Saccharomyces cerevisiae S288C: one gene and its partners. Changing the gene in region 1 together with any one later gene gives a genetic interaction. Each region holds a gene or a part of one and is shown on either strand. Other genes may lie near its edges. The genes, in order: PEX28, IRC4 and NBA1.

Region 1 (4,036 bases):
TTCTCTGACACACAAATATGGATAGATTTGAACTCTATATCAGTAAGCAATTGTTGGGTAAGTGGTGGTCCTTATGCTAGTTGCCCATATGAAAAAGTCATTTCTAGGAGAAATTTCGTAACAATGATGGTCCCTGCGTCAGTCTGTTCCTTTGCCCTACTGTGTATTGTCGTTTACTTGAGTGTATTGAGGGTCCCCATTTATGATAATAGAAAAAATTGGAGAAGAGTTATCAATAAAATCTCTAAATCCGAGCTAGAAGGTGTCCCTTCTTAAAAATCACTTTTTTTCTGACACTTTAGAATTTTCTCAAGTTTTACGACATTAAAACTCAAGTAGTGCTTTTTTTCGTTTCATTTATTATTAATTCATATATAGCATTTCTTAAAACAAAACTGTATTATTTATACTTCAAAAGCGCATTTTTGTATTTTACCTAGTAATATTGATACATAACATTTTTTTTTCTAATATCTTTAGGAAAAAAGTACGTAATACAATGATTTCCCCAAGAAGAGGGGTGGGGTTGTAGGTGAAGGAAAACAATTGTGCATTATGCTACTGGTGTTGCATTCTTAATAACACGATGTATCAGTCTCCTCCTCTTGAACATTGGATCAAATAAGAATTCGCCGGTAATTGGCAGATTCAACCCACGTTCTACCACCCACCTATCCACATCATTGTCAATTTTCCACTCAAAATTAGGATCAAATGACCAGCCTGTGGGGGGAATAACATCAGCCAAAGAATCTACTCCCGGTGGGAATTGCTGTGCTCTTCTATACGGATCTTGAGGATCGAAAATTCTATTTGAATATCGGAAAAACTTCCAGTCGTTCGGCAGTAAGGCCTTTTTATATATTTCAAAAATCTCGATGAATTTAGTTTCCGGTTGTTCATCGAATATCATGTTAAGCGCCTGGTGTTCTCTTTTTTTCAAGTTTTTGTATTCTTTTCCCATTGTTCCTGTTTTGAAAAAACTTATTATTTTTGGATGAGCTCTTGGATGCATATATATCAGTAAGCACCAGGCGAATATGCTACATACATAGCTCCAATTCACAAATGGTGATAATATTTTTAAGAAAACAATCAAAAGAAATCCTGTAAAAAAACGTTTAGTGGAGCACTCTTCGTTTTGAAAACTAGAAGACTTACGAAGAAAACTATTGATTGCCTCAATAACATGAAGGGTACCAGAGGTCATGTTTTGCATATCGCGTAAATTAATTAGTACTTTCATTCCTTGTTTCAATTCCCCTGTGTTTTCGGTTCTTTTATCTAATTCTGATATTTCGTCTATTTCTTGATTTCTTGATTCCAAAGTGTCCATAAAAGATTTGGAGAAAAACTGTTGACCGTAGCTGTACTCATTTTTTCCCTCATAGCACACATCATATAACAATGATGATCCGTGATTCCGTTTCAGAGGATATATACTCCTTTGTAAAGGATGTTTACGCACATAGCCAGGAACTACAATACCATAGACAAAGCGGAATATAGGCAAAATTACCAAGTACATTGGATTAAAACATATCAAAGTGAATAATATTAACGACGTCACCGTCCCGGTAGGGTTTCTCCAAGTCAGCAGTCGAACTATGGAGTCCTGGAGTTCAAATATTGAGCCCATTTTCTTAGACAATTTTTTGAAATTACTACCCAATGTAGTTGCTGAAAACACGGGAACCCTTCCTGTGTCTAGATCATGCTCAATGGTGGTTTTGCTACTAAAATGCTCTCTTTCTGGTAGCTTTTCAGGGACCAACCTCGATATTAGTTTATCCAAAAATACATCGATAAAAGGATCTTTTTCACTATTGGAAGTCATAGGTTCTAGAGCTGGCCCTGATTCGGTTTCATCGTCATAATATTCGGGCGCGCCCTCAAAGTGCGCTGAACACTTGAAAACACCATCGCACTCCCTGCACTCTTGCTCTCCATACGAATCATTTACTGAATATTCCGGAGTACTTGATACTTCTGATGAGTGGGCAGTCTTCAGGCGCTCAATGGACGTACTGAATAATGAACCAGCAATTTGTTGGAGTAGTTCCTTTTTGCTAATGCCTTGGCTTGTTGCGGAGGAGGCGGTTAGCGAAGGATGGCTCATCTCAGAATTTCCGCTGGAGGAGCTTCCTGATAGATCTTCTGCTACAGTTGGCGATTTTGATATTGCTGCTTCTGCCTCCAGTATAGAATCCAACACTTTATTGTATTTGCCTGCGAAGTAAGATTTGACAGCGTCTTTACTCGCGCTCCTGCGACTTGAGCTGGTCTCACTCATTTGCTGAAGATATATTATCTCTTTGTCACCCTAAATACCTGCGTTTTTATCTTATTCATTATGGTTCTATCTACTGATGACTCCAATTCGTAGGCATTCGTCATATTTATGTCTATCATGTCACAATAAAAGGGAAGTTCATCGCGGCGGAAATAATAAAAGCCATTCCACTAACCCTAAATAGCCCTTACTTATTTCCTTTTTCTTGAAATTTTCTCAGCCCATTTTATTTCATAGACCTCGTTCAATTATTTAGTAGCCCTGACACGTTTTGAAATTCTTTAAATTTTTTTTTTTTTTTTTTTCGCGAAGCGATAAACTTTTTTGCAGCTCGAAGAGGAAAACTGCTCACCCAAATAGGAAAGTTCATCGAAAAGACAAGGTTTCTTCCGTATTTTTTCTCTTTTTATCTCAATAAGAACTTTTAATAATCAATAACAAACTCATGGTGAAGCTTTTGTGGGGAGCAGGCCTTGTCTTTATCCATATCGAATTTTTCACTGGTTCTTCTTTTCATTCTTTCATTACCTTTCATAGTTTTTCGTTGAACTCATATAGCGTCACATAGTTCTAACAAAGATATAGTTCGCGATGTACCACACCCATATGCATGAAAGTTTAATATCTGTGACTTCAACGGTAAGTGTTTCTGATGCGTCTTATGCTTATGCAAGGCTCACTAGAAGAGACGATAGCGATTCATCTTCTTCCTCAGCATCCAGCACGAAAAATAGCAAATCTGCTGAATGTACAGGCTCTAAACAGCAATGTCAATTACCCACAGATTCGAGTCACAGCACCAGTGTAACTGTTGGTGTGGCTGTTGCGGTACCAGTAGGTGTCATTATCATTGTTCTGGCTGTGATACTTTGCATTGTGTATAGGAGAAGCAAAAAGGAAGCTGAGGAAGATAATGATCCAGATTTCGAAGGAGATTCTGAATTTTTACCGACAATGAAGGATTATTCACCTGGAATAAATCATTTGTACTCTAGCGACTCGCAGCAAGACTTCATGGAAAAGACCTTGCAACAGCCGCCTTCAGATCCCTTTGTTGGTAGCATGCATAGTAGTAAATATAATGTGAGAAGCGCTACCCCACCTGCAATTGGTCGGTCATGGTACGTAGACCCGTTTCAGCTTCCACAGGAATCGAACGACTCTAACAGTTTGAGAGATTTTGCCATGAGAGTACAAGAAGATGGACTAGGTGGCTATAAAGTTGCGGCCGAGTCTAGAAATGCCAGTCAAACGTCCTTGCATCCTGATAACTTTTCGAATTGTACACCAATAAGAGCGTCTTCAAGATTTCAAGAGAGTGAAAGCTTTCGATCTCACGGTAGCCCAATCCATAATAACCAGCTTTCCCGTGGTTCTGCCACAGAAGGTGCCAACAAGCAGTTTACATTTCCTAATGAAGACAATGATTCGTCCTCAGTTAGTGAAGAGGCTGAGGTTTTGAATGAGTCAAATGAGTCTGCAAGCAATGACGCGTTCGAATTCGAACTTGATAATAGTTCAGAAAAGACACATGAAAGGAATCTGCGTTTTGGTAAGGATGATGATAATTATGAACTTCAAGATATCAGAGAAGCTGAACATATGAATGATCGTAGTAGCAGTAAAAGTCAAGATGATGATTACTATGTATCACTCTTATCCCCTAATGAAGAAGAAGATATTAAGAGAATGAAAAGTATTTATCAAGTTTATTTGGATAGAGCTAAAACAATGAAAAAGGAA
Region 2 (2,874 bases), on another chromosome or scaffold:
TAAAAAAAATGGAAATCGTAAATGCTTGGTATTTAAAAAGTACCCATTTCGTGCATCTAAATATACTAATATTCAGTGAATGGTGATAAAGGTACTCCACACTTACTTGGATCACTCTTGTGATCAATTTAAGATACCTATATGTGTAACCGTATTATGTAATTATGAAGTATAAGTCGTTGAAAGACTTATACTTTTTAGGCGTAATATCAGATGGAATCAAAGAAATTATAGAAAACAGTAGATCAGAGATCCTGCCTTTGGAATTCTGTAATTCAACATATGGAAAAATTGATGCGAAATCACAAGAGTACAGGGATAATTTGGTAATGTATCTCACTAGTTACCATTGTTTTGCTACGCGTACTATCTCGTTTCAATCACCTCTTCTATAATATTACTAAAAAATGTTCATATGTTATATGGCGTACCGATAAAGTTATTGCATTTCTCATGCGATTTTAACTTCCTTTTCAAGTCAAGGATACTTTGTGCAAGCGTAAATCCTTGCTCAATCTCCTCTGCTCAAAATGAAAAAAAAAAAAACGCAGAATCATATGCAGGATGCAATATTGCTTAAATGATTCTATATTTTGCACTTATGTGTGAAGAGTGTAATTTTTGATCTTCCATTTTAATGTTATGCACATAGAGCTGAAATTAAATGCGTCATATATAATTATTATGAGTGAGTGGATTTTGAGATAATTATTGGGAATTCATTATTGCTTGAGATAATATTATTACTTATACAGAATACACTAGAAGTGCTCCTCGGGGACATAGAGATCCATAAAAGGGAATCGATAATTCTACACATTAATCTGTTTTATTTCTTTATCTGTTTTACACGTTTTCATTCATTATCTTATTACAAAATCAGCCCTTGCGCTTCATGTTCCATTATACTCGCAGACTGTTTCTCATCATTTATCTCATCTTTAACTCCATTCAGTATATTATCTTAATAACGCGACTACTAGTAGTGAATAATGGTCAATTTTTACTTCAGAAACTTCCCTTGATTTCATTCATAGATGTTATTTCATTGTCAATTTTTACTCTTACTCACCGATTTGAATGACAGTAAAGAACTTTGCTCAATTAATATTATATTTGTTGTTATCGTCTAACGCTGTAAGTATATGGTACTATCATAAGAACCTCAGTAGTGGAATATGGTTGTTTCTTGTGCTGACATGATTCCGGATGGCCTGTAGGAAAGTATCCAAGATTTTTATTATCAGATACCGGTATGCATTCCATAATGCCAGAGTTTGCGTTCTTACGTCAAAGAACAATGATGCTACGGAGCGCAAGAAAGTGACGTGGCCAACTATCAGCGCGCTAGGATATGTATGCACTGCCGAAAGGCTGAAGCGTATCGTACATTAATTCATAAAGAGAAAGAAATCTCAACCCTGAATTTAGGATAGCGAAGTGCAATAAGAAAAACTTTACCATTGTTTTCAGGATGAATTCTATATCAGCCTGTTTATATAAACAATTTGACAATAGTGCGTAAAGCTAAAAAAGGAAGCATGCCCTTTGTTCCTTATCGGGTGGAGAGGGCCGCACTTAATCTCGAGCGGATATCAGGTACCAAAAGCCTAATTGAAGCAGGCAAATTTTTTTTCCCTATTTTCTTTTATTTGAGTGTGTACATACTAATATAAATTTGATCAAATAATGAATGCGATTAAAAATCAATATTGGCAAATGGAAAAAAATCTAATAGCGGCTAATAGTGAGACTTACATCGCTATAGATTGGTAATTAAACGAATTAAATAATAACAATTGAAAAAAAAAAAACTATCATGAGAGAATATACCAGTAAAAAAGAACTAAAGGAAGAGATTGAAAAAAAATATGAAAAATATGATGCAGAATTTGAAACAATCTCTGAATCTCAAAAAGACGAAAAAGTTGAAACAGTGGATAGAACACCCTCTGAAAACCTCTCTTATCAATTGGGCTGGGTTAATTTATTATTAGAGTGGGAAGCAAAGGAAATTGCTGGGTATAATGTGGAAACTCCTGCGCCTGGTTATAAATGGAACAATTTAGGAGGATTATACCAGTCATTTTATAAAAAATACGGAATCTACTCCATTAAGGAGCAAAGAGCCAAGCTGAGAGAGGCCGTAAACGAGGTCTATAAATGGATATCTACTTTATCTGATGATGAGCTCTTTCAAGCGGGAAATAGAAAATGGGCTACAACTAAAGCTATGTGGCCTGTGTATAAATGGATCCATATCAACACGGTTGCTCCTTTCACAAACTTTAGAGGAAAAATTAGAAAATGGAAGAGACTAGTGCCTGAAGAACAACGCATAAAAAGGAGGAAGATATAATGAGAAAGTTGTATATGGCCGTCTATTTTTTTTCTTGCAGGATTTAGAAACTACCACAGGAAAACCTTTTTTAATATCATATTTTTTGATATTATTATATTTGAGAAATGAATCTCGATTATTATGAGTCAATTTAACAAAACCTCATATAATGTACAGCAGTATAAAGACAAAACTCTCTTACGCTTACCATAGCCTCAATAACATGTCACAATACGAACTTTTTATGTTCTTCCCATATATTTTATTGTACTCTACACACACAGTATTGATCATATAGTTAATTTACCTTACTATACGCTAACCTTTAAAGCAACAAAGATATAGACGATACCATACATGAATGTCGATCAGAGACGTATGGTATAGCTTGTGTCACATTCTGCTATCGTATATGGTATACATGGCACATACTTTAAATTTTAAAGTAATGTCACTTGATTAAGATCTTTCCTATACGTCAAGGTCTCGAGATAAAACTTTATGTCTCAAATAATACATGCTAGGCATATAAT
Region 3 (4,021 bases), on another chromosome or scaffold:
TTTTGATCAATAGGGATATGGTTACACATGCAGAGTTTGACTTAAACCTGTTGGGATTCTGTGATGACGTGGCCAGTCTCGTAGCTAAAAAATGCCATTGGGATATACCGCATAAAAAATGGCAAGATCTAAAGAAGATAGATTACAACTGTACGGAAATAGATAAAGGTACGTATAAGATTAAGAAACAGCCACGAAAGAAACAACAGTAAATTCCAAAAAAAAAAAAAAAAAAAAAAAGAAGAAAACACAGAAGGGGGAGTAAAAATAAGTATACCGCTGCTATTGCATATATTCGAGCATTTCATTCATGTATTTATTAATATGACCAGATAATAAAGAATATTCAATCTCAATTTCTTTAACTTCAACTTCGAAATCTTTTTGTAATTGTTTAATTTCATCATTTAATTTATTGATTTTACCACTGATCAGTTCCTCTTGAATGAAAATGTCCGTTTTGTCAATCTTAGGTTTGATTTCATTTTCATATTTGATTTGTAGATCCATCAATTTAGTATCATTTAGGCGCGACTCTTCTTTAGTATCTTGCGATAGCTTTTCCAAATTCTTGAGTTGCAAATCTAACTGTTCTTGTAAGATTTCTAATTTATACATAATACCTGTTTCCAATACATTCATCAATTTCAGCTTATTGTTGATTAAATTTTGCTTTAATCCCACAAGTTCCGTTTCAGTTCGATTAGACTCTTGCACCTCGCTGGAAATTATTCTCAGCACATCATAGAGCTCACTAATTATGGTTTCGAACGTCGTCACTGTATCTTGCAAGTTTTTCTGTTGTGCGGTTAAGTCGTCTAACGTCTTTTTCCTTTGTATCAACAGATCATTTAGCTCTTTGATTCCCTCGGATAACTCTTCCATGTCTGTATTGGATATTTTGATCAGTTTATCTCGATTGGACTCTAATTCCACTATTTGGAAACTCAGAGCTTCCAGATCTTTAAAGATTGACTGCTTGGAGATCTTATAGTCATTATAATCTATGGATAACGTTTCTTGGATCTTGGTCAATTTCTTCAACTGAATTTCCAGCTCCTTATTTTGCTCTTCCAGCTTTTGGAGCTCTTGCTCATCAGGTATATTATCCCCATCTACGTCCTCGTATTGCTTTAGCTGTTGCTGAATCAAGTTATAATCATCGAATTTGGAGCGAAGCTGACCCAGCAACGATTCCATTTGAAGAATAAAAGAATTACAGTCGAACATTCGTTCCTCCCTAAAACGAGCGTAATTCACCACAGCACTCAGTAAGCGCTGTGTCCGTTGGGCTTCGGGCTTGTACAAATCTGTCATATTGAAATCTTGAACACCTATGTTCTCAAAGAACTTAAAGCAGATTTTGTTCAATACCAAAACATTTAACGTGTCCAAATAAATGTTCTCGTTCTCTTCCTGTAAGTGACCATCCCCTGTTTCTTGGTTACTACTATTCAGCAACGACTCTACAGAAATACCCATGAAGTTCTCGATGATTTGTTTGTAAAGGGTTACCATGTAGTCTGAGGTGGGCCTAGAGATATTTTCCTGTGTGGCTAGCGCAAAATCACAGCTTTGCAAACATATAACTAGTTCCTGTAGATCCAAAATGGGGAACACATCTTGATTCCTACTCATTTTGCTCAAGGGATGCTGGAGCCTTTCTCCTCAGTACATGCTTTTTACCAGTATTTTTTCATAATATTGTTTATTTTAATTGTTATTGTTTGTTACATGTCCCGATTCGGAAAAGCGATCTTTTGATCAAATGGCTGGCACCATCAAGAAGAGAAAGAACGCTGATATATTCGACTAACAAGAAGACCATTATCAAAACCAGATAGGTGTATAAGTATGTCAGAAGAGAGGGAAGAAAACGGGATATCTAGGGCTACGCTGAATACGCAGCGACTTTCAGCAATGATCGATTCACTGAACAATGAGAAAGATGACAGGCTCTTTCCATCTCCCACAACTACCAGGACAATGATCACAGAGGAAAAGGCGGATCAAAGTGATGTCTTTAAACCACCATCGAGATTGTTGAGATCACCTGCTGGTGACGTTTCGCTGCCACCTGGTGATAACAGATCAAGTATGATTTCCAACTACTCTGGAATTATTCAAGAAGGCGTTGAAGTATCATATGTGGTCAAAAACCGGCAACAGACCCAAGAACGGCGCACAAGTAAGGATTCCAATAGTTTGTACTCCTTGAAAGAGCCCGTGAGCAAGAACGAGTTACCGTCGTTGCCCATGTTGCCTTCAGAAGCGACATTGACAAAACATCTAAGTGATAACCAAAGCACAAAATCGAATACCAATGCAGACGAAATTGTCATTAAACCAGTTACTAATGCCAAACCTGTGGGAAGGTTTAACTCTAACACTTCAAAAAAAGTAGAGGGTCGTGGCTCACTGAAACTGTTATCTAGTCCTCTACGTCAGGAAAAAGTTATGCGTTCCTCTATAGGATCAGGTAATTTGGCCAGCGAGAGCGGATCTTCCACTTATAATACCAAATTCCATCAATCTATTCAAGAGCAGCTCGAAGAAGAAGAGGAAGGAAATGTTAGCGATAAGCTTTCAATTGTTTCCAGTGTCATACCCGAGTTGTATACAACCACCAACGAAGCACCCAAAGCGATAAACCCAATACGTTCTGAAACCAATGACTACAATCCAACTATTCCGCCCAGAAGTAAGGACCGTCCTAGGTCAAGGTTGTTCATCGAAGAAGGTGATGGCGAGGGGGATCTTTTAACCGAAGAAATATTACCAACGCCGGTCCAACCTGGTGGCCACTATAAGAACTCATCTCAGATTTCCACAGTTAGTGAACAAAAATCGGAATCTTACTATTCTGCGGCAACGAGTATGCCTCCAGAGGAAGAGACTTACTTGACAAGACCATTGCCCAGCACACCCAATGAGGATAGCAGAGTTACATCGAATTTGAAACGTGACGACACATTGAAGGCTATTCATGATAGGGCAAATCATACCTCTACTTCGACAAACAAACAAGATGATGACATGTACGAGGACATCATTGAGGAAACGCCCAAGAAAACTAAACTCAAGAAGGATACGAAAAAAAAGCTCAATAAAAAAAAATCTGTGAAGGAATTGCGATCCTTTGATATCGACACACTAAATCAACTGTTGAGTGTGACAAAGGGAACCTTAATCGGGTCTGAATTTGCGCAACTGGGGATGAAAATTGAGGAGAAACGTGCCCTGGAGAGACTAGTAGACTCTTTGTCCAGGTTAACAGCAGACATGGTTCTTGATCCGGACCGCTATGAAGAAGGACTGAAAAGATTAGACAAAGCTACAAAGGCTCTTGAAGGGTTTTGATGGTGCAACAACAATAATAATAGTAATAGTAACAGTGGTAGTAACAATAACAATAACAATATCAATATCAATATCAATAATATATTATAATACTAATAATGAATAATAATAATAGCAATAAGTATAGTATAGTATAGTGGTAATATATAAGTTTCTTTCTCTTCCGGTTTATTTACAAGTCATATACAAATAAAAAAAAGTGATAGTAATTCAATGGCTTGTATTCATTGATACTTGGACAAGTCCGGCATACTTAAAATTTCCTTCTCTTTATTTTCACTGAATTCTTGTAGCTGCTTCAGCAATTTAGAATTGGCCCACTTGTCAGGCAAGGGGCTGGTTTTGAAATTTTTTGTGGCCCAATAGTATATGTCCCAGTCCAACTCATTCAATAGCGAATCGTATTCTTCCAGTTCCTCTTCGTTCATCTTCTTCAAATATTTGGCAGCGAACCCAGATAGCAGCAAGTCCGTCTCCAAGATCCCTCTTTTGCGTGATTGATATATCAACCGAGCTCTTTTCTTATCCAATGGCTCGTTAGTTCTCTTTATGGGGGCAATTTTAATCCTCGTCACCACATCGTCGTGGTCATCTTTATCACTACTAAACCACCTACGACCGCACGACCATGCAGCGGACCCTGTTTGAGAGTTGATAATCT

Evidence for each region.
Region 2: mutations in PEX28 (region 1) and IRC4 together harm fitness more than expected from each alone (negative genetic interaction), as found in Saccharomyces cerevisiae (one large-scale study listed by BioGRID).
Region 3: mutations in PEX28 (region 1) and NBA1 together harm fitness more than expected from each alone (negative genetic interaction), as found in Saccharomyces cerevisiae (one large-scale study listed by BioGRID).

Annotation. Positions count from the first base shown.
Region 1 is NC_001140.6:395,508-399,543, reverse strand, and holds PEX28 (Pex28p), read right to left. Parts: upstream 2,294-4,036; coding exon 554-2,293; downstream 1-553. Other genes in the region: MTC6 (Mtc6p), read left to right, coding at 1-276; SKG6 (Skg6p), read left to right, coding at 2,885-4,036. UniProt on the Saccharomyces cerevisiae protein: Involved in the regulation of peroxisome number, size and distribution.
Region 2 is NC_001136.10:1,516,621-1,519,494, reverse strand, and holds IRC4 (Irc4p), read left to right. Parts: upstream 1-1,819; coding exon 1,820-2,359; downstream 2,360-2,874.
Region 3 is NC_001147.6:196,559-200,579, reverse strand, and holds NBA1 (Nba1p), read left to right. Parts: upstream 1-1,854; coding exon 1,855-3,360; downstream 3,361-4,021. Other genes in the region: histone deacetylase HST1, read left to right, coding at 1-212; kinetochore-associated Ndc80 complex subunit NUF2, read right to left, coding at 283-1,638; succinate dehydrogenase assembly factor SDH5, read right to left, coding at 3,585-4,021.